Linked DNA regions of Struthio camelus. Each later gene encodes a partner of the first gene's protein in a complex. Links are inferred from orthologs where the notes say so. Each region holds a gene or a part of one and is shown on either strand. Other genes may lie near its edges.

Evidence for each region.
Region 2: the proteins of ESPL1 (region 1) and PTTG1 are in contact, whole or in part, in a cryo-EM structure (PDB 7NJ1), measured with the Homo sapiens proteins. The link is inferred for Struthio camelus from reciprocal best matches to the Homo sapiens genes ESPL1 and PTTG1. Residues at the interface, in NP_036423.4 of Homo sapiens: His402, Thr405, Val406, Tyr409, Ser461, Asn462, Tyr465, Tyr468, Arg505, Arg508, Glu512, Glu544, Thr547, Phe548, Arg551, Gln590, Lys593, Ala594, Val595, Arg596, Thr599, Gly600, Arg603, Gln634, Cys637, Tyr638, Trp683, Ile686, Glu690, Ile697; in NP_001269311.1 of Homo sapiens: Tyr111, Pro112, Glu113, Ile114, Glu115, Lys116, Phe117, Phe118, Pro119, Phe120, Asn121, Pro122, Leu123, Phe125, Glu126, Ser127, Phe128, Asp129, Leu130, Pro131, Glu132, Glu133, His134, Gln135, Ile136, Ala137, His138, Leu139, Pro140, Leu141.

What each region holds. Positions count from the first base shown.
Region 1 is NC_090969.1:1,557,817-1,572,294, reverse strand, and holds the start of ESPL1 (separin), read left to right. Parts: upstream 1-6,665; 5' UTR 6,666-6,753; intron 6,754-7,181; 5' UTR 7,182-7,193; coding exon 7,194-7,274; intron 7,275-7,440; coding exon 7,441-8,556; intron 8,557-8,799; coding exon 8,800-8,904; intron 8,905-9,095; coding exon 9,096-9,216; intron 9,217-9,524; coding exon 9,525-9,661; intron 9,662-9,777; coding exon 9,778-9,971; intron 9,972-10,053; coding exon 10,054-10,296; intron 10,297-10,530; coding exon 10,531-10,675; intron 10,676-11,097; coding exon 11,098-11,242; intron 11,243-11,549; coding exon 11,550-11,689; intron 11,690-11,817; coding exon 11,818-11,952; intron 11,953-12,045; coding exon 12,046-12,165; intron 12,166-12,399; coding exon 12,400-12,571; intron 12,572-12,832; coding exon 12,833-12,961; intron 12,962-13,056; coding exon 13,057-13,213; intron 13,214-13,472; coding exon 13,473-13,582; intron 13,583-14,022; coding exon 14,023-14,478. Other genes in the region: MFSD5 (molybdate-anion transporter), read left to right, coding at 3,592-4,950. UniProt on the Homo sapiens protein: Caspase-like protease, which plays a central role in the chromosome segregation by cleaving the SCC1/RAD21 subunit of the cohesin complex at the onset of anaphase. During most of the cell cycle, it is inactivated by different mechanisms.
Region 2 is NC_090954.1:14,384,338-14,399,536, forward strand, and holds PTTG1 (securin), read left to right. Parts: upstream 1-7,676; 5' UTR 7,677-7,895; intron 7,896-8,003; 5' UTR 8,004-8,066; intron 8,067-8,579; 5' UTR 8,580-8,600; coding exon 8,601-8,682; intron 8,683-8,982; coding exon 8,983-9,161; intron 9,162-9,558; coding exon 9,559-9,652; intron 9,653-10,527; coding exon 10,528-10,677; intron 10,678-11,055; coding exon 11,056-11,132; 3' UTR 11,133-11,213; downstream 11,214-15,199. Other genes in the region: pre-mRNA-splicing factor SLU7, read right to left, coding at 930-1,027, 1,285-1,416, 1,926-1,973, 3,658-3,723, 5,283-5,447, 6,009-6,089, 6,387-6,540, 7,162-7,325. UniProt on the Homo sapiens protein: Regulatory protein, which plays a central role in chromosome stability, in the p53/TP53 pathway, and DNA repair. Probably acts by blocking the action of key proteins.

The DNA.
Region 1 (14,478 bases):
CTCGCAGCTGCCCCATGGCCACCCCACGGCCCTCGCAGCTGCCCTACAGCCACCCTGCAACCCCCACAGCTGCCCTAGAGCCCTTGCAGCTGCCCCATGGCTGCCCCACGGCCTCCACAGCCCCCCCACGGCCCTCGCAGCTGCCCTACGGCCACCCTGCAACCCCCACAGCTGCCCTAGAGCCCTTGCAGCTGCCCCATGGCTGCCCCACGGCCTCCACAGCCCCCCCACGGCCCTCGCAGCTGCCCTACGGCCACCCTGCAACCCCCACAGCTGCCCTAGAGCCCTTGCAGCTGCCCCATGGCTGCCCCACGGCCTCCACAGCCCCCCCACGGCCCTCGCAGCTGCCCTACGGCCACCCTGCAACCCCCACAGCTGCCCTAGAGCCCTTGCAGCTGCCCCATGGCTGCCCCACGGCCTCCACAGCCCCCCCACGGCCCTCGCAGCTGCCGCACGGCCACCCTGCGGCCCCCATGGCTGCCTCACGGCTGCCCTGTGCCCCCCATGGCTGCCTGGTGGCCCCCCCAGCCCCCCCCAGCCGCCCCACGGCCACCCTGCGGCCCCCACGACCCTTGCGGCTGCCCCACAGCCCCCACAGCCACCCCACAGCCCTGCCACAGCGCCCATCAGCCCCGCAGCTGCCCCATGGCTGCACCGTGACTGCCCTGCGGCCCCCCCGGCGGCCCCCCGGCCCCCCGGCCGCCATGACAGGCTTCGGCCTGGCCCCCTGCAGCCCCCACGGTCGCCATGGCAACGGTGGGGGGGGCGCAGCACCATGGCGATGGCTGGTGTCTCATCCCCGTCTCCCCCCACCAGGGGGTGGGTGGGTGGCCTGTTATTTTGGGGGGAAGGCTCCGTTATTTTGGGGGGGGGGGGCATAGGGGAGAGGTCAGGCCGGGCGGGCGGGGCGAGCGCAGGGCCCGCGTCACGTGACGCCTGCCAAGATGGCGGCGGCCGCGGCGGCTCCGGCCGCGGCGACGCGGAAGCGGAAGCGGGTGCGCGCGGGCGCCGGGAGCGCGCGGCCTCTCCCCCCGCTGAGGGGCAGGTGGGGTCGGGGGGTGAGTGTGGGGCCGGGGGGTCAGTGAGGGGCCGTGTGGGGCCGGGGGGTGAGTGTGGGGCCGGGGGGGGTCAGTGAGGGGCCGTGTGGGGCTGGGGGGTGAGTGTGGGGCCGAGGGGGGGTCAGTGAGGGGCCGTGTGGGGCTGGGGGGTGAGTGTGGGGCCGGGGGGGTCAGTGAGGGGCCGTGTGGGGCTGGGGGGTGAGTGTGGGGCCGAGGGGGTCAGTGAGGGGCCGTGTGGGGCTGGGGGAGTCAATGTGGGGCCGAGGGGGTCAGTGAGGGGCCGTGTGGGGCTGGGGGGCTCAATGAGGTGCCGTGTGGGGCCGGGGGGGGCTCCGTGAGGGGCCGTGTAGGGCCAGAGGGGGTCAGTGAGGGGCCGTGTAGGGCCAGAGGGGGTCAATGAGGGGCTGTATGGGGCCGAGTCAGTGGGGACACTGCAGGGGCCCAAGGGGCTGTGTGGGGCCAGCTGGTGGGGTCACCGAGAGAGGCCCTATGGAGCTGTGTGGGGCTGGAGGCTGTGGGTCCCTGGGAGGGGCTCAAGGGGACTATGGACTGTAGGGTTAGATGGGGCTGAGAGGTCACTGAGAGGGGGGGCTGTGGGGCTGGGGGGTCACTGAGAGGGGGGCTGGGGGCCTCTGTGGGAGGGGCTGCCTGGGAGGGAGCCGTGGGGTCAGTGGAGACATACAGAACAGGGGCTGTGGGGTCTGTGCAGTGGGGACGTATAGATCCGGGGGGCTGTGGGGATGTATAGGGCAGTGGGGGGGGGATGACTTGGGGGGCCTTAGGTAGGGTGTGGGGAGGGGGCTGCCAGGGGCAGAAGAGTGACATGGGGCCAAGTTTGGGGGGGGGGGACAAAAAACCCAGAGGTGCCTTTTGGGCACGAGCTGCCCCAGGGGCTGCAGGGGCTGGAGCTGCCGTGGGCTCGGTGGCTTTGCCTGGGGCCGCCCATGCTCAAAACTTGCGGCCACTCACGGTCTTCACCCGTCTCCCGGCAGCAGGGACAGACCCTCACCCTGTTTTCTCACGCCCCGGGATCAGGGGGACGTCCGCTCTGGCAGGACAGCGGCTCACGGCGGGGGCCTGGCATCTCCGGGAGCTGGTTGCAACCCATAGGACTGTCCGGATGCTGCGGGGCTTCCCCTGGAGCAGAGACCACCCAGGTGAGCTGGGGACAGGTGACAGGGTGAGACGGTGGTGGCCCTGGCTGCCTGCCCAGCCCTGCCCTGCGACTACACAGACCTGTTCGCCTTATTTTATTTTTTTTTTTTTTAAGTCACCTGGAAAGATTCGGCTGCAAGGCAGCAGCGAGGAAGATGTGAGGGGCAGGCTGGAAATGAGGATTAGGGACAGGAGCAGGGGACAGCCTCTGTAGTGCCTGGGGACAGGCAGGCTCTGGACATAATACAACTGGGAAACCAGAGGTTTTAGTTTTTTGGATTTTTTTCTTAGGCTGTTTTAGCACTTCTGTTCAAACACTTGGTTTAGGAGTGAAGCCAAACCCTTGACAGACAGATCCTGGATCTCGTCAGTCCTCCCGGCATATCACGTGCTTTTTCTTACCCTGAGGACTATCCCATCCCCATAGAATGCAAATAAAACAGGATGTGACTTTATTTTTCCTGCTATTAAACAGCTTTTCTGTTTGCAATTTGCCCTGAACCCCTTGGCTTTCTGGGTAGGCACAGGAGAGTCATCAAAGAGTCTGAAACCAACTGTGCTGCCAACGGCCTTGTTCTCACTGCGGACCGCTTCTTCTAGGGCTTGTGCTCACGGCGCAGATGGGAGCAGGATGGGGCTGGCGCCATGGGATGAGCCACAGCCGAGCCCCAAGGGACAGGCTGGGATGGCAGGTCACTGTGGGGAACGCTGCGGATGGGGACTGTAGCTTCACCTCCTGGCAGAGAGGCAGAAATTAGTGTACAATGGGGTGGAGGGTTGAGGCTTGGCTGGAGGTGGAGCTGTCCTTTCCTCCGCCTCTGCGGATCGGCTTGTCACTGGGGAGCAGAGGTAGAGGGACAAGGAGGCTCCTACGAGCGATCGCGGAGGAGCCGCAGGATGGGCTTTGCACTCTCCATTTCTGAGTGATGGCACTTCTGGTGTTGCCTTTATGGAGACCAGTCTGTGACCTGGCAGACCAGTGTCCTGTGGAGTTTTTCCTGCTTCTCAGACCGAGTTTCGTAACTGCTTCGCTCCACCCTGTGGCTCTGCAGTAAATGCAGCCCTTCCCGTCTGCCGCAGCCCTTCCCATCTCCCAGCCGGAGTCAGCTCTGCCTGCGGCTTGTGTCCTCATGGGCATCTGACCCAGGGTCCAAGAGCTTTGAGGGCTGACAGTTCAAAATCAGCTGCTGAGGAAGGACGGCCTTGGGGTGCCCAGGTGTCCCGGCTTGCGTGGGCAGAGCAGCAGAGCGGTTGCTTCGGGGCCACTCCTGCAGAACAGTGCACCTCCCATCCGGATGTCACGGCATTTTCTTCTCCTCTCTCAGGAGCTTCGCGGTAGCCCTCTCTCCCAGAGATGCCCGTGACGCTCTGAGGCACCATGCTCTTCACCGCCTATGCCGCCTTCGCCGTCCTCTTGGCCGTATGCTTGGGCTTGGAGTTCTCCGCCTGCCGCTCCAAGCTCACCGGTAGCGCGTGCACCAACCCGGCTTTCCTCCAGTTCCAGCGGGACTACTACCAGGTGTATTTCCTGGCTCTGGCCGCCGACTGGCTGCAGGGCCCCTACCTCTACAAACTCTACCAGCACTACCGCTTCCTGGAGGGGCAGATTGCCATCATCTACGTGTGTGGCTTTGCCTCCAGTGTCCTCTTTGGGCTGGTCTCTACGTCCCTGGTGGATTGGCTGGGCCGGAAGAAATCCTGCATCCTCTTTTCTTTGACCTACTCGGTCTGCTGCCTCACCAAACTCTCCTGGGATTACTTTGTCCTGGTGGTCGGGAGGATATTAGGCGGCTTGTCCACAGCGCTCCTGTTCTCCGCCTTCGAGGCATGGTACGTTCATGAGCATGTGGAGCGCTACGACTTCCCGGCGGAGTGGATCCCCGCCACCTTCTCGCGAGCTGCTTTCTGGAACAATGTCATTGCCATTGGGGCCGGGGTGGCAGCCAACTTCTTTGCGGAGTGGCTGGGCCTGGGCCCGGTGGCCCCTTTCATGGTCTCCATCCCCCTCCTCATGCTGACGGGCATCTTTGCCATGAAAAACTGGGATGAGAACTATGGGAAGAAGAGGGCACTCTCCAAGACCTGCATGGATGGCTTGAAGTGCCTCCTCTCAGACCGGCGCGTCCTGCTCCTGGGCACCATCCAGGCTTTGTTTGAGAGCGTCATCTACATCTTCATCTTCCTCTGGACACCTGTGCTGGATCCTCACGGCTCACCTTTGGGCATTGTTTTCTCCAGCTTCATGGCAGCTAGCATGGTGGGCTCTTCTCTCTATCGGATTGCCATCTCCAAAAGGTACCACCTCCAGCCCATCCACATCCTCTCGCTCTCTGTCCTCATGGTTTTCTTCTCCCTCTTCATGCTCACTTTCTCCACCAACCCTGGCCAGGAGAGCCCTTCTGAATCCTTCCTGGCTTTCCTGCTCATCGAGCTCTCCTGCGGGCTCTACTTCCCTGCCATGGGCTTCCTCCGGCGGAAGGTGATCCCGGAGAAGGACCAGGTGGGAGTGATGAACTGGTTCCGCGTCCCCCTGAACCTGCTGGCCTGTCTCGGCATGCTCATCCTCCACGACAGTGACTACAAGACGGGCACCAGGAACATGTTCACCATCTGCTCCGTGATGATGGTGATGGCACTGCTCGCCGTCGTCAGCCTCTTCACCATCGTCCGCAACAACGCGGAGCTCTGGGTGCCCGCTCCGCAGGGACAGACGGACCCGTCTTCCCCTGAGCTCTGATGAGCTGTTGGACCGCAAAGTTGGCGCCTTTGCGAGATGGCCTGTGAGCTTGGGGGAGCGAGTATTGCTTGTAGCGTGTCAGACCCCGAGACTCCTGCCCTGCTGGTGGAGGGGGGTCCGTGGAGCCCCCGCGGGGGGAAGCAGCTGTGACCGGTCAATGCTTGCGATAGAAGCACCGTCACAGATGACAACGGCGCAGGTGAGCCTCCGGTTGACTGGTGATTCCCGAAGCATCCCAACCCGAACTGCCTCCATCTCCTCCCTCACATCTTCTCTTGTGCAACTGCCAAATGTCTGAGGTGGCAGGGAAGGCTGTTACGGAAGGTGAAGTATTGGAAGCGCACACTGCTCAGCGCTGGACTCCTTGGGATAGCTGGAGGCGAGCACAGGGACGAGACGCTGTCCGGGCGCTGGATGTGTTACCCCTGGCTGCTCCGCACACCGAGCTCAGCAGCCCTCTCTTTTTTTTTTTTTTTTATTTTAAAGAAAATAAAAACCGACAATGGTTGGTTCGAGACCTGCGTGCTTCTGGTGCTTTGCAAAGCTCAGGAGGTGCTGCTGGGTTTCCCTCTGTGCCTTCCTTGGCGTGTCGCTCTCCTTATTTCCTCCCCAAAGCAGCCCGTTGCACGCTGCTCGGTGTGCAGAGAGGTTGGCCTGGTGGACACCAAACCTCGTCACTTCAAGCAGGAGTGCACGCTGATCCGTGCGTGCGTCAGTGCCCCTGTTGCACCAGAATTCGTGCCAGACAGTGGCAGTCCCTTTGCACAGGGATCTGTGCATGTGCTCGTGGTTCTGTTGCACTGATCCGTGTGCGCTGACAGTCCTGCTGCACGGGGACCTGTGTGCATATCAGTGCCTCACTACACGCTGATCCACGCACGCGCACGTGCCCTGGTGCACACGGATCCCTGCGTACGCTGGCAGCCCTGCTGCGCACGGATTCGTGTGCACAGGGACAGCCTGTTGCATGAGGATCTCTGCGCACACACACAGGGGCACCAGCTGCACGCTTTCCTGCACACCAGCACTGTGTTGCATGCTGATCCCTGTACTCTTGCACTCCGTTGTACAAGGATTGCTATGCACTGGCACCTCGTTGCGCACTGACCCTGCACACTGACTCCTCGTGGCACAGAGGCCTATGCACGCTGACACCCGTTGCACACTGATCTGTGTGCGTTCCAGCTTCCCCCTTGCACAGGGGTCCCTGCACAGCAGCTCACTGTTGCACGCTCGTCAGTGTGCACATGGGCTCACTGTTCTACAAGGCTCTGCGCACCCTGACACCCTTTCCACTCCCGTATGCAGGCCTGTTGCACAAGAGTCTGTGCACACCAGCAGCTTTTGCACACTGCTCGGTGTGCACACTGGCTCCTCACTGCGCAGTGGTCTCTGTGCACTCATCTGTGTGCACAACAGCTCCCTGGTGCAAAGGGGTCTGTGCACCCAGACACCCTGTCACACACCCATATGTGTGCACACGGCTCCATGTTGCCCAGGGGTCCGTGCACACCAGCTCCCTGTTGCACACCTGCACGCGTGCGCACCGGCCCCGTGTTGCCCAGGGGTCCGTGCACACCAGCTCCCTGTTGCACACCCACACGTGTGCACAGGGGTTGCACAGGGGTCCGTGCACGCCGGTGCCTCGCTGGCCGCCACCCTGCGCGCATGCGCCACCCCCGGGCGGGGACTACAACTCCCGGCGTGCAGCGCGCGGGGGGGGCGGTGCCGCGCGCCGATTGGCTGCGGCGGAGATTTGAACGGGGCGCGCGGCCGGGCCCGGGCGGCTGCGGGTGGCGACGCGTGAGTGCGGGGGGGGTCGCAGGCCCCGGGGGGGGGCTGCTGCGAGCAGTGGGGGTCTGCAGGCCGTGGCAGGGGGCTGGGAGCACTCGAGGGGCTGGGAGTGGGGCTGGGGAGGGGTTGCAGGCCCTAGGGGAGCCTGTGAGCGCTTGTGGGGCTGGGGCAGTGCAGGCCCCTGGGGGCTTGTAGGGGGTGTTGCGGTTTGTGGGGGGGCTGGGAGCGAGGTTGGGGGGCTGCAAGCCTGGGGAGGGCTTTGAGGAGTGGGGCTGGGGGAGCTGCAAGCACCTGGGGGGCTGCAGGCCCCGGGGCGGGCTCTCTGCTGCCTCTTTGCCTGGGTGGTGCTGGGCAGCCCCAAGGGACCCCTGTCCCCTGGGGGGAGCACAGCCTGTCCCCACCCTGACTTGTCCCCCCCCCCCCCCACCGTGTGGCAGGCTGGGAGCAAGATGATGCGCCTGAAAGGAGCTGATTTTGTGGCACGGACGTGCAGCCGACAGGAGACGGAGACGCTGCTCTCAGAGCTGACGGTGAGGTTCGGGGTAGACCCTTTGCAGCATTGGGGGGGGGGTCTTGACCACCCCCACCCCCAGCTCTGGGGTGCCCTCTGCTCCCCGCAGCGAGGAAGACCCTACCCAGAAAGACCCTTGGCTGGGTTCGCCACGTATCGGGGCGCTAACGGTCTCTTATCTCCAGGAATGCCTTGCCAGCGCCCCAGAAGATTCGGCCGGGGCGAACCAGCCCTCTCGGCAGAGCATCGTGTGCGACAGAGTCCTGCGGGCTTGCGTGCACCAGCTGGGACAGCCGGGGGCCTGCCCCGCGCACGCCGCCAGCCTCGTGGCGCTGGCTGAGGCCGCGTGCCGGGGTTACGTCGCCGCTACGCCCCAGCCCGCTCCCCTTTACCTGGAGAAGATCATCTACCACCTGCTGAGGAACGTGGTCGCCCAGGGGGCCGACGATGCCTGCTGGAGGGTGGCCGATCTCCTCCGCGCCCGGCTGCTGACCTACCGGCCCCGCCAGGCTCCCTCCGAGGACTTCGGGGCCGTCGCCAGGAGCGGTTTCAGCGTGCTGTGGAACGGCGCGGACGCCCTGGCCAAAGCCAGCCGGGCGCCGGAGGAGAGCAGGGCCGTGCTTTCGGCTCGTTTGCGAGCCCTGCGCTTCCTGGCGCTGCTGGAGGACGACGGGGCTCCCCTGCTGCCGCAGGAGCCTCCCTTCTTCACCTCCCAGACGGCTCGCCAGGCGGCTGCGGCTGCCGTCATGTTCGAAGGCCAGCGGGCGCCCCTCGGCGCGGACGACGCGGTCTTCCTCAGCAGGCAGCTGGCCGGCTGCTTGCTCGCAGCCCTGCGGGAGGGTGGCGGCGCGGCGGAGCGGCCGACCCCGCAGCGGTCCCTGTGCTTCTTCGAGCTCACCTTGGAGCGATGCCGGCGTCTTTGCAAGAGCGGCTGCTACAGGGAGGCCATGGAGGCTGTGAAAGAAGCCCGCAGCTTTCTGGGTGCAGCTGGTAGCTCGGCGAAGACTTTTAATGACCCCCTGGCTCTGCTGGAGGCCGGGGTCCGGCTGAGCCGGGTGCTCGCCGAGAGCGTGGGCCAGGCAGGGCCGCTGTTCTCGCAGGCGGCCACCGCTCTCGGCTCTGCGGCGAAGGTCTCGGAGCGGTTCGTCCGGGTGCTGGCCGAGAGCTGCCAGTTCATCGTCTCGTCCCTCAGCGGGTACGCGAAGAGGAGCGAGCGGAGGCCCTTCGGTCGGGAGGATGTTCTTGGCCTCTGTGCCTTCACGGAGGGGTATTGCTGCGTCCTCCACAGGCTGCTGGAGCGGGTAAGGCTTCAGACAGGAGTGGGGGCGGCCACCCACTGTGGCCTGTCTTGTTCGTTAGAGGTCCTGCGAGCAGCGGGAGGGATGCAACCATGCTCTAGGCTTGCCTGACAGTCTGTTGCTCCCATTAATCCATCAGCAGAGCAGCCCTGCCTGGCATCTCTGTCCTTTTTAGCACGCACCATTGGAGCCTGGTGCTGTCAGGACCACGAAAACACTGTTTATTTTCTTTCCTCCCCTCTGCAGATTCCTCCCGACAGCATAAAACAGCAGCTAACAGTGAAACAGCTGCTCTACCACAGCCTCCAGCTCTTCACCAGCGTGGCGTACGATGCCTTCCAGTGCTCCCAGGTACCAGCAGCGGAGGGGACAGTCCCCAGCGCAGGGCTGGGCGAGACCCTGGCCAAGCTGCGAGCGCGATGCTGGGCAGCAGGCTGGGTTCTCCAGTGCTTTCGGCAACGTGGCTGAGCCCTGAAGCCCCTTGGAGGGGTCTCGTTGGCTGCCGCTGCACTTCTCTCCCGCTAACTGTGGCTGTTGTGCAGGCGGTCGGGTGGTCCGGCCTGGAGCGGCTGCTGGGGGTTTGCCGATGCACCGTGGCGTGGATGCTGGCGGCCCTGGAGGGGCTCCCCGCGAGTGAGCGAGCAGAGTACCTCGATGTCACCGGTCAGTGTCCCCGTGGCAGTAGGGGAGCCCGAAGCTGGCTCTTTTGCACAGGTGTGGGTCAAATGTGGTGCCGCCTCCTAGGACAGCAACTGGGACCCTTCCCCCTGTCTGAAGCCCCTGGTGAAGGGGCACAGCTCAGTATCTGCCTCACCCCAGGCAGCTCGGGGCTTGGAGAGCATTGGGTTCTCAGCTGGAAAGAGCGTAGCTTGTAGGGTTAGTGTGAAGGGCGTTAGTCCTTGCTGGACAAGGGAAGAGGGTAACTCCTCTCTCCAGAGTGCCTTTAATATTTGTTTTTTAATCCATGACAGCATCGTGCACGTTTAAGCTGGCCTACATCTTCTACAGCCAGAATCTTCATGAGGAGGCCAGCTCCCTCTCTGAGCTCTTTTGCAAGAGGCTGGAGATGGCAGAAGCCTATAAATACCCAGAGATACCCCCAGAAAGGGTGAGTAGCCACATGAGGGGCTGCAGCATGCGATTCTGCTCTCCAAGGGAGGCAGAGAAGGAGTTCTGCAGGGTGCTGAAGCCAGTCCTACTGCACTGTTCATGCTCTCCCCACAGCTGCACAGATGCTTCAGGCTGCAGGTGGAGAGCTACCGGAAGCTGGGTCGGTTCGAGAGAGCCCTGGTGTCCATCGTCCAGTGGTTGGCTGCCCTGCGGGGTAAGATCAGGGAGCAGATGACAGAGCCCATCTCCCTCTGGGCCAGAGTCAAGACGGACGCCACGAAGCAGGGGGCTGAGGAGATACGGCTACGGTAAGGCAAGATCTGGGTGCTCTGCGCGTGTGGGGTGGTGTCTGCGCAGAACCCCCCACCCAGATAGCACCCGTTTCCCCAGGACCCTGAAGGATGGCTTGGAGGGGCGCTGCCTGGATGCTGGGACCTTGGTGGCCGTGCTCTTCGAAGAGCTGAAGGCCTACAAGACCGTGCGGGCCAACACGGGGCAGGAGCGCTACAATGTCATCTGCGACCTGCTGGAGATCTGCTCGGAGGAGAGCGGCTGTGTGCACGAGCGGGCCATCGGCTTGGTGGAGCTGGCCCAGGTCTTGTGTTATCATGACTACGCGGCGCACACGGACTGGTGGGTGGATACAGGCGTACCGGGAGAGCTATATCCAAACACGGCTCTGTCCTGTGTCTCTGGGAGCCCTGAAAGAGCCTTTGAGGGTACTTAAGGGATTTACAAGGTTTAGGGGTGCTATTGCTTAAGACAAACCTGTTCTAGGTATGTCTTAAGTATATCTAGTTCTCCTCCTAAAATACTCCAGGAGTTTTGGGTGCAGAAGGCTGTGTTTCTAATCCCTCTTTCTGGCAGCTCCTCCCTGGACTCGATCCGAGAGGCCTTGCGGCTCCTGGAGTCTGTGCCCAGGACCGCCCAGAACCAGGATGAGCTCCTCGATGACCGAGCACAGGCCTTGCTCTGGCAGTACATCTGCACCCTGGAGTCCAAACTAGAGGAGGTAGGCGAGGGCAGCAAAGGGGAGCTGCAGGTTGCTGAACTGGGTTGCAGCACCTGCTTGATGGGTGACCCAGGTCTGGAAAAGCTGCAGTGATCCTAGGGCACCAGAACCACTTTGTGCACATGCCTAATGTGCAGATCTCCTCCAAACTCAGCAGTTAAGAGGAAAAGCAGCTCCCCACCCTCCTGAAACCTTTCAGGCTTCCTGGGTTCCCAGTTACGCTCAACTAGTGCGGGCAAACCTAGTGCCTCCCAGCTGAAGGCACTGCCTATGGAAAATGGCCCCCTTCAGCTCTTCCCTGCTCAGCCCTCTCCCTTTGAGGCCACCAAAAGCCTTTCTGCAGCCCTAGCAGGGCCCAAGGGGCTGGAAGCCCTGCCTGCGTCTCCTAACATGTGTTGCTGCTGCCTCCTAACCTGCCACAGAGCATAGAGAGGGAGCAGAGAGCCAAAGCTCAGGGGCAGAAGCACCTGGATGACTTTGAGCCCAATGACCTCAACTATGAAGACAAGCTGCAGGAGGACAAGTTCCTGTACGACGGCATCGCCTTCAACCTGGCTGCAGAGTCTGGTGAGCATGTGGTGACTGAGCCTCTTGTGGCAAAGGCCCCCTCAGCCAGTGAGGTTCCTCTGCCCGAGGAAGGAATGGCGATGGGGTTGATGTGGGGAGGGAGCGCACACTGGGAGATGTTCCTCTGCAGCTCTGCCCCATGGGACAGCAGGGAAATGCATTCTTGCAAGCTGGAGGCATTGCTGGAGATGCCTTTTCTCCCAGCTGTTTTTGCTGTGCAGCCAGGCTGGGAGGGGGGGGTGGTGGTGGTGTTAGCAGTGGTGTGGTCTGCCTGGAGAAGCTGCTCAGGCCCACGACGTGTGCTTAGCTCAGTCCCAGAGCCTGGACGATGCCTTCGCCTTGTGGAAGCAGCTCCTGGCGAAGAAGGGAGTTCCCGGCGTGCGCAGCCTGGAGCAGACCGTGGCCTCCCTGCACCTCATGGCAGCTCTCTACAGACTGATGGCCAGGGTAATGCTGCTGGGGGCTTGGCTGAACTGTGCGACAGAGACAGCTGGAGGGAAAGCAGCCTCTGCAGGGGCAAAACATCCCTCTGGCGTTGTCTCCAAGCATAACTGTGTGGGTTTTCCTGCCCCCAGCCCCTGCAGGCTCTGGAGAGCTACCTGCTGGTCAGATCCCTGTGCAGCGCGGTTGGAGACAGCCTGGGCATGGCTGGTGCCTTGTGCCAGGTTACCAAGCTGCTCTTCCAGCTGGAGTGTCCCAGCTATGCCAAGGCAAGTGCGGGGCAGCAGGGAGGGCAAGGCTGCTGGGCGAGTTTGGCTGTTCCCCTGAGGCCGCAGCCCTCATGCTGTCTTGTCTCCTTCCAGCTCTTCCTGGAGGAGACGGAGTCCTGCTTGCAGAAGGCCGACAGCAGTGGCGATTCCTACCTGTTGCTGAAGCAAACCTGCCTTCTGCTCCGCAGCCAGCTTTGCTGCACCAGCCACCAGGTATGCCCTGCAAGGGCCCCTCCGCTGGGGAGATCTGGATGCTTGGGCCTGGGCTGAAAACCCTTTTCTGCTTGCAATGTGGGGTCAGAGAGCAAGAGGAGAGCTCAACAGCTCTGGCAGTCTTCAATATCCTCTTGCTAGCCACCTTAGCCCACCTTGGTGGACACGGAAATATTCTGGACCCTGAATGGTGACAGTTTTTCTCCTTCTCTTGATCTCTGCTTCCGCTTCCAGGTTGAAGAAGGCCTTGCCCTGCTGCTGGAAGTGCTCCAGAACCCAGCTCTGCAGAAGATTGCAAAGGTCTGGTACCTGCTCCGAGCCCACGTCCTTCAGTTAACAGCAGTCTACCTGAGCCTTCCTGCTGCCCACCTCTCGCAGGAGCTCAGGCAGCAGATCTTTGCTCAAGGTGGGTTGCCAGGGGGCCTAATGGATGTGTCAGACCCTCCTCTCGGTGAGCCCCACAGCGATGAGAGCTGCAGGGGTTGTTGACAAAGCTCTGTGCAAACACTGACTTCTGGGTTTCTCCAAATTGGCTGGAGCTGGAGTCTGCATGGCTCTTCAAAGTCCCACTGGAGACCTTCCCGCTGTGTGCTGTGTTTGGGCTGAGGAGGGATGATTTGATCTCATGCTGGGCAGAGTGCTGATGTTCATGACGGCTGTCGTGCAGGGTGGAGGACGCCTGAGACTGCTCTCACCGAAGCCCACAAGTTTTTCCGTAGCATCATCCTTCTGCTGATGGGCAGCAATGTGCTGGGCTCTCACAAGACTGCGTCAGACGTTCAGTTTGTGGATTGTGGTGAGTTTTATTTGCTTGTGTGGACTGAAAAGCAGCTGCTCCTCTGGAAGAACTCCAAAGGGCAGCTCTGGTCACCTGCCTGTCTTCCTTTGCAGGGGAAAACCTGCTGCAGAAGTGGCAAGTGCTGGCTGACCTGCTGGCCTGCTCGGAGCGCCTCGTAGCTCTCCTCAGCAGAGTGGAGATGGTATGCGAAGCCAAAGCCTTCTGCTTGGAGGCTGTCAAGCTGGCCATGAAACTGCAAGCGATTCGGTGGTGAGTGGCTGTGGTGGGAAGAGCTTTTGCCTGAGTCTGGGGGACCTGTGGGCAGGGCTGAGCTAGCATTGGAGGGAGGGTTGGCTGCTGCTTGGCTTTGGGAGTAAGCAGCTGCTCTAGACTGTCCTGGGATGCGCTGTCCCGTGGGTTTAGCTTACCAGGTCAGAAACAGGCTTGTTCTTGCTGTCCGCTTCCCTCCCTCCAGCGAGGCACTGGGGATGTGGCTGTCAGGGGGGCTCTGAGCGCTGTGTCCTCCTAGGTGTGCCGCCTTCCTTGTGCTGAAGGCCCAGCTGGAGCTGCAGCGGAGTGAGCTGGAGCTGAGCCGCTCCGACCTCCAGCAGGCCCTGTTCCTCCTGGAGTCTGGCACTGGTGAGTTCCCCCTCCTGGCTTGAAGGAAGGGGATGGAGGAAACATGAGCCCTGAGCCCGGGCAGTGCTGGGGACACTGCTTGTGCCTGCTTTTCGGAGTGTATGCTGTGCAGACACTAATGGAGCAGCCAGTTGCTTGCCCAAGATGTGGAGGCAGGCTGGGCACAAAACTTGGTGAACCATGTTTCAGCCTGCTGGGTGACTTCCCCCCCTTGATAAAAGCCCATCCGGGCTCCTCTGGGGGAGCAGAATTGTTGGGCTGAAAGACTGGGAGCGCTGGAATATCCCAGCCTGGCTTCCCCCATCCCTTCTCCATGTCAGCTCTGTGCAAGAGGGCAGCCCTGCTGGGAGAGGCAACGTGACGGGAGCTGGTGGCGCAGTTCAGGAGAGCGGTGCGGAGAGGATGTCGGACTAACCTGTCTCTCTCCCCTCTGCCTGCAGAGTTTGAAGCTAACGAGAAGCAGAAAGGGCAAATAAAGATCCTGCCCCGGAAGGGCAAGCCTCAGGGCAGGAAGCAGCGAGATCCCAGCTCGGAGCTGCCCAGGGAAGAGGAGGGCTTTCTGAAGGGCCCCGCGCTTGAGTTTGTGGCCACGGTGAGCGGGCCGGAAAAGCCCACTGCTCTCACCACGTCGCCGGAGCTGAAACCCAAGCAGAGGAGATGCCTGGCCTTCCTTGCCCACCCTTCCACGTGTCCCTGCTCCCTGTGCTCCGACCTGACCCTCTCGGCGCTTTGCCTCCGCTGGCTGCTCTCCTGCGCCCAGGGCGAGCTGGCGGCAGGCAACACGGCCGAAGGGCTTGGTCTGCTCCAAGCCACGCTGCAGCGCTGCACCGCCGTGGCCGCCCGCTTCGCCGCTGTGCTGCGGGACAAGCCGTGGGGTGGCTCCGTGACAGTGACCG
Region 2 (15,199 bases), on another chromosome or scaffold:
TTTCATCTCCACAAAAACCACTCTGAAAAATTCACGATCTGCAATGCTGTTGCAAAAACATGGATTCGACAAAGGTCAAATTATGACTCTAGAGAGAAGTGAAAGCTCCTGCATCCGAAATAAAATGGACTGACTGGCATTATTCTAGCTGGGGGCAAGGAGAGGTGGAAAGAGCCTTATTTGCCAGTATTTAACCACTGCCATTCTATTTTAGACAGCAAGCTAATCCAGTTACTGTACTCTGAATAAATGTTTCTAGTCACAGCTTGTCTACTCTGTATGTCTGCTGCACTACATGGGTCAAGGCTGGGTCACAGCTCAAGTGCTTGACTTGGGTTTTTAAGCAAGACAGTCTTGTGTGTAGCCAAAAGCCAGCTTAAGGCATTCTTTTTTAATCAAGTCGTCCATCTAAACAAAGCCAAAACTTTCAGATCTTTAGTACGCAGACCCCATTAATAGACGGGGAATGTTTGCTCCGGATTCAGGCATTTAGTTAGACACCACAGATACTCCACGCTAGGTATCCACTGCTGAATGCCTCTCAACAAGTAAGGGATGAAGTTTTAGATTCAGTTACTGAAATACTTTTCATAAACATCATTTTTGCTTATAGGTATCATCTCTAGATACAGTAGACTGTTCTTATCCTTGTTCCATACACACATCAGCACACCAAGTGGTGGTCCTCGTGTCCCTGAGGATCATTAAAATACTACTTTAAACACTAAAACAAAACAGAAAATGCTGGTAACAACAATTTTTTCATGTTTACCATACAGTATTACTGAAAGACTTTTCTATCCATAATGGACTAGGGATTCATTAATAAAGATACACAGCTATGCAAGGAAATACAAAATTACTAAAGTAATCTCATTTTTTAAATAGAGTTTTGTTGGATACTTGACCGTTTCTCTGTTTTAACTTACTCGTCTGGATTCTTGCCTGTATTGGCATATGGGTTCTCCCTCATTGCTCTTGTTTTGGGATCATAATAAGCAGAGTTTGGATCTAGATTCCTGAGGTACTAGGGGAAGAAAACAACATACAAGATATTTGATTAAAAATTTATGATTTTAATAGAACCAAAATTAGTACTGTAACCCCCAACTTAGACACTTTAAAATGGAAAAATCTGTGCAAGGGGATGACCTTTGAGAAATCATAACACGCGTAGCAGTAGAACTGAGAATACACCTTAATCTCTAAACACCAAATTCATTAATAATAGTGCAATTTTTGAAATATGTATATAAAAGATCAGTAATAGAACTCTATACTCACTTTTGCAATATCTTCACGAATACGTAAATTTCGAACTGTGATACGTCTTTTAGAGTCAAAGTTCTGTCCAGGCATATCAATGTCATCTGCATATTTATCTTCATCTTCATCTTCACTGTTATGATCTCTTTCCTGAGGAGAGAGAGAGGAAACTTCTAACTAAAACGAACATTCAGAGATAGGAAACTTCTACATAAAAATGAGCATTCACTCTAGAAACAAGAATCTGATTTTAGTGGTTTGATTAAAAATTCTGCAGACCCTGTAGTTAAAAGTTAGTATCATTTATTTGGGCTTAAGTATGCTAATCTATCATGCAGTTATATTCCACAGTTCAGAAATACCCTTGTTACTGTTATTTGCACTGTGGAAAGAGTTACAAAAACACAACTATGATGATGTTAAGACAACAGTTATATTGATCAAAATATACAACATGTTAAAAACTAGTTATTCTCTTGCACCTCTAAGGTTTGACAACACACAGGAGTTATTAGCTATGAAATCCAGCACCCTCTGCCCAAAAAAAAGGGCAGCATGAAGCCAGTATTGAAACTCTCCTGCCACCCCTGTTTCACTGCTTCACTAACTACAGATTTTTTTCTTCCCCCATGGTGTGATGCAGTGGATAATCATCTTACTGTCTGTGAATTTGGTTCCTCTTCTCCCCATTGGTGTCTCGGGGAGTTCTGCAGCAAACAAAAAGCACATCAGCAGAGAACACAAGATAATGGAGAGAAGGAAGAAGGCAGGGAGATAAAGAACAACCAAAGCAGAGCTTATTCCTATGGCCTAGACTTACTGGAAGCAAAAATACAGTAACTGGGTCACAAAACACACAAAGACCACTCCCATCTAAACGTTTTAAGACAGAGAGCTTGTAAGCGGATCTACTGCAGAAACATGTTGGAGACCTTTTTACTGTATTCCCAACTGAATTTCCAAGCCCTTGCAAGAGTGGTAAATTCCAGAACTATCACTACTATATAAAGTCTGTTATTCTAGTCTAAAACATTAATGTTCAAAAGCATAACTCATAGCACGTCAAAAAAATATGACTCAACTCTGAAACCCTCAAACCCCCCAAACTATACGTTAACAAATATATACGTGATATTTAATTAAGAATGATGGGAATACAGAGCATAAATCAGGAGCCATAACCTCATCTGGAGAAATATAGCCAAACTTTTCCTTTTTTTTTTGAATCTGTTTAGCCTCTAACGTGAGAATCCTTGGGGAAGTAAAGACTGAAACAAGAGTGCTGGTCTTCAAGGACTTCAGTTATGAGAAGAGGCACCAGTCTTGCTTCTCTGTTTATCAGAAATGGTTCTTTATGTTTCAAATATACTTTTCTTCTACCAGTTCTATTTTGTAAGGAATAAATATACGGAGGCTAAAAATCTTGCTCTATGGTGGCAAAAAGAATAAGAACCTTATCCACCTGGAAAGAAGTTCAGGCTTACTATGTATTTTGTGTTGGTTGGAGATTAAGTTTACTCTGCCATCTAGTGACAAAATGCAAGGTGACAACATATGGAAAATGGAGGCCCAATTGTACGTACTCTATTGGTTAGTGTGTTTTTTCTTACAGTATAATATTTTGATTAAGAAAACCCCTCAAAATACTTCTCACCAGTAATGATCTCTACTCCCCCTCGTTTTATAAACCTAGAAAATTATCACAAATACCTCTTAAATTAGAATTTTATATTAAAGATTATCAGAAGCCTTGACTAGATAATCCAAGAGGAGCTTGCAGAAGTTAGTGGAAGATGCAAACTCTGTGGAGTTGCAAGCAAGAAGCTTGCATATCCTCAGCCTTCAAATAACCAAAGACACTGCAAAGAGTGAATCAATAACTGAGGAAGATACAAGTTTGGTTCTAAGGAAAAGAAAATGCCTTCCTATTCCTATTTATATGAAGCATTAATCAAGCAACCCATAGTCACATAATGGTCATAACCACATTAGTCAGACATAACAATCTTTACATTAAAACTCTCATTTTAGTGCGTGAACAAAATTACTACATGGGAAATTATTTTTTTCTGACCCACAATTCCATATCATTCATTTTAGCAAGAAATACTAATTGCCAGAACTGAAGCAGGAAAGTCTTGCCTATGAGGGGAAAAACAAAGGCACTTTCATTTGAAAAAAGGTATTTTGCATTCACGTAAACAACACAGAGTATGGATGCATTACGAAGCACTGAAGCATTACTTCAATGCTTCAGGCAGGTCATGTTACTGAAGGGCACGGAAAGCAATAGGAAACTCAGTCTGCAGAGTAAGAGCATCAGAGAGCAAAAGCGACCTTTTTATCTTTATTCAGCCTAAACAAAAATGAATTAGGGTTTAGTTTCCTTACCACTTGCTCCAGCTTTCCTGATGCTAACTCCTCCTGAAGCTTCTGGGCTTTCAGCGTACGTTTGGCCTGCATATCATTAAAATGCACTTGTTTTAATACTTTCTTTCAATCCCAAGTGTGTAATAAGACTCATCACAAGCACCTCTTACGACCACTATCGTTTTAACAAGTATTAATTATTACAAAACGTGGGCTGCGAATTCTCTGGGTGCTTGTCAAAAAACAGCAGCCCAGCTTGCCTACCCTACTCTTACATTTACCATGTTATATTTTTTCAGATCAAGGAAAGGAAATGTGTATATACTAACCATTTTGCTGTTTCATATTATTCTGTTAAAGAGTTTATTAGAGACTACGCGGCTATACTATCCCTACGTACTTCCTAAAAATACTCCCTAACCATCAATTTTTAGATTAAGAAAAAGCTCAAAGCATTTCAATAGAGTTTAAGAACAAACATATTTTATTATTGTGTCCTTTTATGCTGAATCTAGTTAAGAACTTCAATGCTTGAGGTAGGTCATGATTTATACTGCAAGCATTTATGGTTCATCCAGGAAATACTGAAGTCTAAAGTGAGACTCTGAAGCAGCCACGTAGTGAAATTTTGTATGTTTGACATCACAGAACCATAGAATGGCTGAGACTGGAAAGGACCTCTGGAGATCCTCTAGTCCAACCACCCTGCTCAAAGCCGAGTCGGCTACAGCAGTTTGCTCAGGACCGTGTGCAGCTGGGTTTTGAATATCAACAAGGGTGGAGACTCCACAACCTCGCTGGGCAACTCATTCAAGTTCAATCACTCTTACAGTGAAAGCAAGCTTTTTCTTATGTTTAAATGGAATTTCTTGCCCTTCAGTTTCAACTCAGCGACTCCTGTCCTGTCCCTGGACGCCACTGAGAAGAGTCTGGCTCTGTCTTCTTAATATTCTCTCATCACACATTAATACACATATACAAAAATCACATCACTAACATCCAGAATACCTTCATCTAGCATTAGCTTTCCTGTGCACTATAGGGAAAAACTCAAATCCTCAGATCAGGCCCACAAAGGCACTTAGGTATCTAACTGCCTTTTGGAACAGGCCTACCATCCAGCCAAGGTGGTGAACTACTTTTTTAATATGAAGTTAACAGTATCCACATGGATTTGGTACATACAGCTAGAAAATTACTGCAACAGTTAGGTGCTGATCTGCACAGAGACATTTACAGTTAGTCCACTGCTCTATGATAGTAACAAAAGGGACTCACAAGTAACAAAAACACGAATGAAGTTTAAGAAATGAATATAGATGTTAGCTCTGATCATTATAGCCAGCCTATAAATTCCTTTCTGTAATTCAATCTTCATTTTGGGTAATGAATTCTAGGGCTGGCCTAGTAAAAGACAAACAATTTGAAGAGAGAACTCATTTATTGTGCAGACCCATTTTCAGTTGCCAGTTCTGATCTGAGTTCCCAGCTCAGTCTAAGTTGGTTATCAAACACAGACTCCATCTCTGTTTTTCATTATGAATACAGCACAAGATCTAGTATCAGAGCGCACAGAGCACACGTGCCTCCCCTTATCCCCAGCCAAACACAGAATTTTTCCCCAGTAAATTATAGCACCTACATACCAAGTCAACTTTGGAATATTCCTCTACAATCTTCATGTGCTCTTCTGGGTTATAACCATTCCAACGATCTCGTTTTCCATCATAATCAAACATCAGCTGAGGCTGCACATGTTCATCTGGTGCAATGTTCATGCCGGTGTATTTTGCTCCAACTTTCCTGGGTCTCTGAAAGAAAAAGAAATGGTTGGATCAGTTCATTAGACTGAAGTATATTATTCACTTTAAAAATATGGTATCAATTAAGCTGCTCTAAAGCTGATTTAATCCAGCACTAGAAACGAATCGTAAGTAAAAGTAAGTAGTTCATTTCTAGATTTTTATAGTAATGCAACTGTCTAAAACCTATCAATTTACTGCAGCCCCACATAACCCTATCTTCCACAGTTAAGAAAGGAATTAAATTACAATTCCTGGAAAGTGTTCTTAACTGACATGCAACCGAAAAGGTTAGCCTCAGCAGCACTTGAGTAAAAACGAATTAATGCAAAAAATTAAATGATAAACCTTTTCACCTATTATTGCAGCTCTTTTCATATACAGTTGATAGGCAACATCCTGAATGGTTTTTTTTTCCCCCCTACCTAAAGGTTACTTTAGAAATTTTCAAGCAACGCTTCAATATTTGAGAAACTAGTAACGTTCTTGTTATTTATAACCAGCTATTTTCCACTAGAGAAGAATTTGCATTGTTTTCAAAAACATTAAAACATCAAAGGTCAAATTTACCTCCATGCAGTCTTTCTTTTTGTGTGTCAATGCACCACAGTTCTCACAAGCTCCTTTACGATATTTCGTTGCTACAGCATGCTAAACAAAAACAACAAAAAACAGCATTGTACAAGCTTCCACCAAGATTCATAGACGCATTCCTAATAACTACCTCATTTTTTCAATGCAAGCAAAGTATTCATGCTCTCCACAAAGCCATAACACATCTCAGTTATCACTAAACACTGTGAAACGTCTGCTGAGGAAGAATTCCCGGCTCCTGTCGTCTTTAAAACATGTAACCAGAAAACACAGAAGATTATAGGAACCAACGTTTCTATTCTTCCTTTCTCACAGAATCAAATCTTATCTTTACAACCAAAATATTTTGCATACCTCTTGAACTCCTCGTTTGTACCAATCTCCAGAGGAGCTATACTGTTTCTGCTTCTCTGGCTGAGGTCTCTGGTGCTTTAGAGTGGGTCTTTTAGAAGGATCTATGTACCATGGCACTGAAGATATGTACTGAGGAATGTGAGGATTGATATCTCTGTAAAAGATATCACGTAATAAATACATGGCAGGGGAAAAGAATAGCAACTTAACCTAATGCATAACTCTCACCTTCAACTTCAGCGTTTTAGGGCTGATCGTAAAATAACCACCCAAGTTGTTACAATGCTTTCTAAGTTTGTATAATAAATAAAGACTTTTTTTGATGTTCTGTCTTTATAACAGAAGACTTATCTTATAACAAAAATAGTAATATCCCTTCTCATCACAGACAATAACAGGTGCAATAAGACGGTGAAGAGCCTTGCAGAAACCACAGAGAGAAGGAAAGAAATTGATAAGCTGCACAGTTAAGTTCCCCAGCACTACCTTTTGCTCTCTTTTAAAATACCACTTGTAAAGATCTGCACAGGGCAGGGCTTTTTAGCAGCATCCCAACAGATCAGACCAACGCTGAACATACGTTATTCTTTTGCAAAAACAAAAATCTATACATCTGAAGAAGGCTGGAACGTTAAAAGTAAATTCACGAAGTACAATAATTCAGTTCCGCGTTCACCTTTTGTGCTGTCCCTCACGATTTTGTAATCGCAATAAGCAAAATACCTAGTTTTAAACCCTATTACTTTAGAATGACCGTAGCTTTAATAAAACTTACTTTCCTTCTTCATCCACTTCCGCAGGCGCGTTTCCCAGTTTTCTCTGTTCTTCCAACTCCTTCTTTTTCCTCCAGTCTTCCCTTGTCATCTTCTTTGGTTCCTCCAGGCTAACATCACTTGATCCTCCCGAAGGAGTCGCGTTAATTACTGTCCCAGACGCCATTATATCTCTCTCTGTAACAAAAGATCAGTAAATGTGTTCATCCAGGCGCACCGAGCAGCACCTCGCCGGGGCCGGGCCGGGGCCCACCGCCCTGCGAGGGCCCGGGAACCTCCCCAGGCCCAAAGCGGCCGCCCGCAGAGAAAGGAGCCTGCCCAGCACGGTGACCCCTCCGCCCCCGACCTGCCACGGGGAGCTCGGTGCGGCAGCCCCGACTCGAGCAGCCCGAGCGGCCCTGACCGCCCCGCCAGCCTCCGCCTCCCTTGTTTACCGGCTCCGCTGCGCCACACCGCCACACCGCCGCGCCCCACAATGCCCCGCGCCCCGCCTCAGGCCCCGCCCCCAACGGAACTCGCGCCTGCTGGGGCGGGGCCAGGCAGTCACCACAGCAACGCCGCGCCGCCGCCGCCGCTGCGGCTGCCCGCGCCACGCCCTGCCCGCCCTGCCCGCCGCGCGCGCCCAGCGGCAGCCAATCGGCAGCCTGAGCGTTAGTCTAACGGGCCAATGGGAGGTGCGGCGGGGGTTTAAAAGTCGCCGGCAGGACGGACCCCTCTGTTGCGCCGCTCTTCAGAGGTGAGAGGGGTCGTGGTGGGCCGCCGCCGCCGCCGCGGTCGGCTTCCCCCCCCCCCTCCTCCTGAGGCCTTGCATGGCCTGAAACGCGCAACTTTCTCTCTGCTGTAGGTGCTGTTGTTCTGCTCCGTAGCACAGGTCTGTTGGCAGCGCTTGAGGGGGGCCTCTCCCTAGGTAAGTGCTGTTGGGCTGGGAAGGCAGGTTTTGCTTGGCTAAATCTGAGGCCTCTTCTTGGTGTGAGCAGGTGATGGCTCCTGGAGCCTGGCCAGAAGATGGCGTTGAGGTCTGTGGCTGTGAATTTTGCTTTGGCTTTGTGTTTAAGCTCTAAATTCCAAGTTTTACCTCAAGGCAGCTTTTTCTGGAGGCTTTTTTTCCTCCTTGAGTGGTGAATAGCCTGTCTGTCTAAGCAATGGAAGTGAGATCTGGTGAGCTTTTTCTTAGCTGTGCAGGGAGGTACTCTGGATTACCAGTGACACCTTGCTGCTTCCCTGAACTCATGCAAGTTGCACTGGGAATTTTGAGACTATCGTGTGCACTGATAAAGAAAATTATTCCCAAATGGAGAGAAGTATGTCTTGGCTGCTCCTCTAGGAAGCAGCCTGGGGCAACTGTAATGTAGCTTGTTAAAGTGTGCTATTGTAGCAGAGACAATAAAAACTGACTTCTTTCTACTCATGGGCTTCCCAGAGTGGTCTCATCAGCTTGAAGATGGCAACACTAATTTTCATTGATAAAGAGAATGGTGAAGTTGGTGCTACTAAGAATCAGTTAAGACGGCCTTCAGCATCTTGTGAGTATATGCTGCACTGAGTAAACTAATCAGAGGATGGAGTAAAGACCACAAAATTAAGGATTTGCTGTTTGCTGTTTTGGATGTTAGTACAGTTTTATTCTGCATACCTGTATCTAGCATATCAGTTAATATAAAAGTGAAAATAACTATGTGCTTTCATGGTAGAGAACACTTATGCTTTTAAGTTATAAGCAGAGAACAGTGCTTTTATGACACCTAGTTTTCCAACATATGCACATAGTGAAGCAAACTTTATGCTTGTTATAGAGCCAAAACTTACTTTTCCCCCCCCCCCAGCAAAAGTCTTATCTGAAAGAACACAAGTCCATACTCCACTTCCAAAAAAAAAGATCAGTACATCTCCAGCCACATCCCTCTCTGTCAGAAAGGCGCTTGGAAACGTGAACCGAACTCTAGCAGCAACAAGCAAGAAGGAGCAGTTGAAACAGAAGAATCAGCCTTGCACTGCAAAGAAGGTGAGTGCAGTACTTCTGCAGGAAAAATAACACAACTTATCTATGTAGGTACAGCTTGAGTAATATTCAAGGGCGGAGAAGTGACTCTGGAGAAGATATAGCCTGATTTCCTGTTTTGCTGACATCCTAAGTAGTAGGAGCTAATACTGGGAACCCAAATGTTCTAGTGTGGTGATCTGTTGCCCCTGTGTATAGTATATCATTACACTAACTCAGTTGAAGCATTTGCCCTTCTGCAGCTTATTTGCACTGAAGGTGTTAGAACTTAGGCATAACTGAGGACTATGTTGCAGGCATTCTGGTCTGTAGATCTATACATCACAGAAAAGCCCCTACTATAGGTCCTAAAAGGAGGAATTACAGTAGCTCAGATGAATAATGTGCCTCTTTCCTTAAGATTACTGAAAAGACTGCTGGATTAGAAAGCTGTGATGCAGTAGCTGAAGAAGCCTATCCAGAAATGGAAAATATGTTTCCCTATGATCCTCTAGGTAAGAAATTATTGATGGAGTTATCAGAATGAACAATCAGGCTCTTGTTTGAATCTTGATTTGTCTCAAGACTTTGGCCAAGCTATTGTGGCAACCAAACTGGCATTGCATTTCTGGCATCCTTCCTTAAACATAAGGATGCTCACTACTTAGGAGTACCCCCTCATTCTTGTTTGAATGTTTCTAACTGCAGTAGCTGCACTCAAGACACGTAGTCTTCTGAGGCCACTACTGTGGTGGCAGGAAGCTGGTTTCAAATACTAAGATATGGTCTCTTAACTTATTAAATGGCATCGAGAAGACAAGCGCTCAGAAGGTCTTAAGCAGTGCTGAAGTGTAGACTTTTCCTAAGTGTATACTTCAGATGGCAATATGTAACTGGAGAGACTCCTGCTGAAGTAGGAATCCTACTCCTGTAGTTGTATAGTAGAAATCTAAAATCTCTAAAGCTGTTCTTAGAATCTATGCAAACAACTTGCAGTGCTTTTTTAATCCTATATGCCCTCAAACCTCTAGTTTCTAGAAATAGTTTATGTGGAAGTATATAAAAGCTGTTATACTGGAGACTTCAGTGTTGTTGAAACATGTGTTGCTTGATGTAGTTGACTTGAACTGCTTTTCAGTCACCATACTAATGGCTCCTGGGTCATATTAGCAGTTTTGTTTTGCAGTCTACTTGTCTCTTGATTAAATATTAGTATATGGGCTTTTATGGACAGTTGATTGTAACTGCAAATAAGCACCCCATAAATGGACTATTAAATTGAGGTGCTTTGGACCTGGTCCTAATTAAACTTAGGAGGACTTGTTGCTTCCAAGGCTACTGTAAGTGTTGGTGTACACTGCTAGTAAACTACAGTGTTTTCTGTGAACAGACTTTGAGAGTTTTGATGTACCTGAAGAGCACCGACTAAGCCATCTGACACTGAGTGGTGTTCCCCTCATGATATTTGAAAGTACCTCTGACAGACTTGTAAACATGGCTCCTTCTCCTGTGAAGCTCCCCCAAATGTCATGGGAGCATGGTAAGTGGAGATGTGCATGAAGCTCAGTGTATGCAAGTGCTTATTAGTGGTTTGGGAGGGAAGCTATTGGGCTGTTGCAATAATGAAACTGTCATTGCTATCTAATACTACCAGAATAGGAGTCTGGTATCAAACAACTGTTGGCATGTAACTATGGTGATTTTTTTCCCTGCTGGCCAGCTCTCTTAGTACAGGTAGTCTGTCATGTTGTTGAGCAGTTAGTTGCAATGTATTGCTAACCAATCAGTTAAACTGGTTTATGCAATCCAACCATATCTGAGTCTTTCAAGAGACTTATGCAAATCTGTTAGGATCTAGTTTGTGTTCTAAAGTAAAATTCTGTTTCTTGAACTGACTTACTCTTTCTAACTCTTTCAGACTTGCTACAATCAACTGCTGATTTTCTTTCTACTCTGGATGAGATCATTGATATGCCACCTCTGAATGACCTTTAAAGCATGTTCTGAAACTTTTACTCAGTTAAAATTTCATGTAGTTTTGTATCTTTAATAAAGACTAGTTTAACTTGTATAATACTGGACTTGTCTATTTTCAGTAGACTCAACACACAGTCTGTAAGATGTGGTAGTAACAATGTTTTGAAAGGGAGCTTATTTTATAAGCTATTAAAGCAGAGCCTGGATCAGGTTTAAGCAGAACTATAGTTCATTGTTCTGAACTTCATCTGGGAGTCAGTGCCTGCTGATTAGACTGCATGGTTATGGTAGTTCAACAGGCCCTTCAGCCCTTCTAATGCTGTGCCTTCTATTGCTTCATCCTTTGTCCATCAAACATGCTAGGGTGTAAAACTAATATGTATGTTTTGTGGGAGGTGGGTGCCAGACATAATACTCTGGGCCTTTTACTTGAAGTTATGAACTGCTGAAGAAAATATGATCTAGGATGGTATATCTTAGATCCTCGTATGGCTTGATCAGACTAGAGGTCTGCAGCTGCATAATTGTCACTGCAATATGTGGCCCTCACTGCTTTTACTGTGTCCAGAACCAAGGCTAGCACAGAGTAATCCTGTCCATCAAGTTACAAGAGCAGCAGGTCTAAAAGTTGCTGTACAACACTGGATAAAAGTTGAGTTTAACTAACTTGGCTTTGCTTCATTGGGGTGGCAGATGATTCTGTCTTACCATGAGTTTTATGAAGCTTGTAAGTATGTGATACTTCTGAGCAACTGTTTAAACCAGTAGATATCAGAAGTTCTAGAAAGAAAGAAAAGCAGTATGACTACTTGCAGTGGTTGTATAAACTGATACATTGGAGACCAGGCTAAAAATTAATAGTAGATGAAGCTGCTTAATGCATATAGTTGAACTTCTGATCTCTTTTCACCCAATAAACCATTGGGTGCTTTTCTTTTAATTGGTAAGAAGTCTCAGAAGTAAAGTCCTTAGTGAAAGGAAGTCAGGAATCCTAGTTATTACTACCAATCAGCTGCAGTTACAGTTTTGTGGGAAAAAATTAAGTCAGCCTTTGCTGTGAGGTAAAAAGCTACTTTTCTATTTGCTAGGCAGTACTCTGATCTACTTGGATTACAGCTGTTTGAGCTGCATTCAGGTATGTGTTCATCTTTACCATGAATCTGAATTTACTGGGATGTGGTGTTTTCTGGGTATTCACTAAGATAAAGCCTTTATGCTCTTCCATAATGCAGCTGAGCTCTAGTAACCTATTTTACACTTAAGAGCAATTGCTTTGTCAATTTACCTTAATTTTGACTGGAAAATGAGGGATGAAATTCTTGATTTGCAGTTGTATTTCTGCTTGCATTTTATAATTAATGGTATGTAGTTTGGATTACTTGCTGCAAGGTTGAAGACCAAGGTAGGTTTTTAAGGAAGCAGTTTAAGGAAACCAGACTGGTGGCTTTAGAGACTATTATTGGCATCTTTCACTCTAGACCCCCTCTCCCCACTTCCTGTATGTAAACATTGGCTTGTTTCAAATAGGTGCTGCTCACTTCCACAGCAGTGCACAAATACTACAATGATTGCTGTAGTATGTGGGACCCTAGCAGTGATAGCCTTTGTGCTAATAATGTACAAACACCTCTTACCATTGAGCTGTATCCAAATAGCTTTCTACACAAAGCTGAATGAAAAGATGCACCATTATTCAGTGTTCGTGGCAATGGTTTCAGTGTCATCTACATGCTCTTAAGAGGTACGTGTAGGAGGAGGTGTGTCACAAATATCATGGATGCTAAGGTGGTTTTGTGTGGGTTTATAGGGTTATCTGAGAGCAGTCAAGGGAGAAAGGACAGGCATGTGTCTGAAAAATTACCAGAAACATCTGCTTTGGTCCATAGCTTTGACTTGACAAATGTTACTGGAAGCTGTCTTCCCCCCCTTCCTGCCCCATGGCTCTCCCTAATCTTCTGATGCATTTTAGTACAGTTTGCCTGGACTGGTATTCCTCAGTATCTCACTCAGTTTGGAAAATAATACAATTAAAAATATTAAACATCCTATTTGTGTTCTCAGCATTATAGCTGAAAGTACACTGGGCCAGTGTTTCCCATGTTTGTAATTAAATTGTTAGGCTCTGTATGCTACTCTTAATAGTATGTTGCTTTTTCATCTAGCTACCTTAAGGAATGGTATTGGTGCTCAACAGATGCAAAGATTTTGAGCAACCTCTGCCATTTTTTCTAACTTTAAATGGGTTGTCACAAGTGTGGATGAGATTATAGATTAATGTGCAGAATGTTATTACAGATGACAGCGTGTAGGGATGGATGGAAAGTGTTTTGACCTACAGATCCTATCAAAAGGAAATGAGGAAATAATGACACAAGAGCCCTTCAACAAACAGCTTTTAAAATCTGCTTCTTAAAAACAGACATCTGTCAGATTATCTATAGATGACTTTACTATGCTTTATTGAATCTTTGAAGTGGCCTTGGGAACCAACAGACTGCGGTACCTTTTCCAGAACTGTTAGGCAGCTTGTTTACAACTTAAGTGTAATGGTCTTGGGTTTTGTGAAGCAAGATAGTCTGGTCATGTTATAACATACTATGTAACTACAAGCAGTTGCAAGACTAGCTTTTTAGCTCACTTGTTGCTTTAAATGTATGATATGCTTTAATGATTGCAAGTTGATAAAAGATGAAAATATTCTACATAAGAACTGGGATTAATTTGGCATGGATCAATAGTGCATACCCTGTAGTCCTGCTCCTTGGAGGCATACTATGTCTCCATCCTTACTTCACATGAAGATGCAGTGTGGATGTGCAACCATCTTCCTTTCATGCTGTGGTTTCTAGGAAACCTAAAGATGGGGGCAGGCAGCAAGAGACCCTCCCTTTATTCAAGGGGCTGCCTGGTCTATGGGTGCTGATGGGAATGTTTGCCATGTTATACTGATATGGGTGATCAAAGCTGCTCTTCATCTTGAAAAGGGTAGCAGGCAGAGCTTAAACCTGTTTTCACTGTTCTGTGATTGTGGATGTTTCCTTAGGACACATTTAATCACAACATTATTTCTCAGGAGGTAGATGAGCCTTTTGGGAATAATTCTGTTGCAAAATCTGATCTTCATTCTAGTAGGGCTAGAAATTTGCTCTTGCTAGTATTTGTTTAGTTTTTTAGGTATCTGATTCAGACATTGTTTCTGAAACCTCTCAGGGTAGCAGCTAAAGTTTTGAATTGCAAAGAATTTTATAATAGCTGTTCATCTACTTTCTCTAGTTTCTTTTTTGCTAGAAATCTCAGGAATATCAAAAGCCAGAATTCAGAAAAATAGATATGGTTAAGGTGGTTCTATACAAAAATTTCATGTTTCTATTAATCCTTAATTGTATTTTAATAGCTCTTGGTACTGCATAACAGCTTGTCTCAGCTGAGATCTAAGTCTGGGCCTAAGTCTACCAGCTGCAAGAGCTGAACTATAGGCACTATAAAGGAAAGTAAGAAAGCAACAGAAATGACTTCCTTTGACTTTTTCTCTTTTACTAGCTCAAATGAGTTGGGGAGGAAAAAAGAATCCAAGCCCAATTTCAAAGAAAAATATCTAACTACAAGTCACTGAAATGGGTTAGAGTGCCATGAAGTGACCTCTTAGCAGTCATCCAGATAAAATGGTCATTGTTTCATAGGATGGGAAACACTAGACACTGATATGATATACCATAAGACTAGGACATTAAATCAACATAAATGTCCCATAATTAAAAATAAGGTGTAACTTTTTACATCTCTAAACAGACCTCTCTTCTAGAGATACCAGTGCTTTGTACATGTCAAGGAAGTTTGTCATGGTAACAAAACAATTTGTTTTAGGATCTAAAAATCTCATAATCAAGCACCTAGCTATTTTTGGCATTTCTAGAAATCAGCTTTCTGTGCTAGGTCTGTGTGTGCATATAGACACACATCAGACCATTTAATCATACTTGCTACTTGTAAGGTTCCATACTATCATGGTTGAACTTCTGTATAATCTTTAAGAATGATAACTAAATGATTCAGATAGGTCTCTTGCTGCCAATAGGCTTTGATCT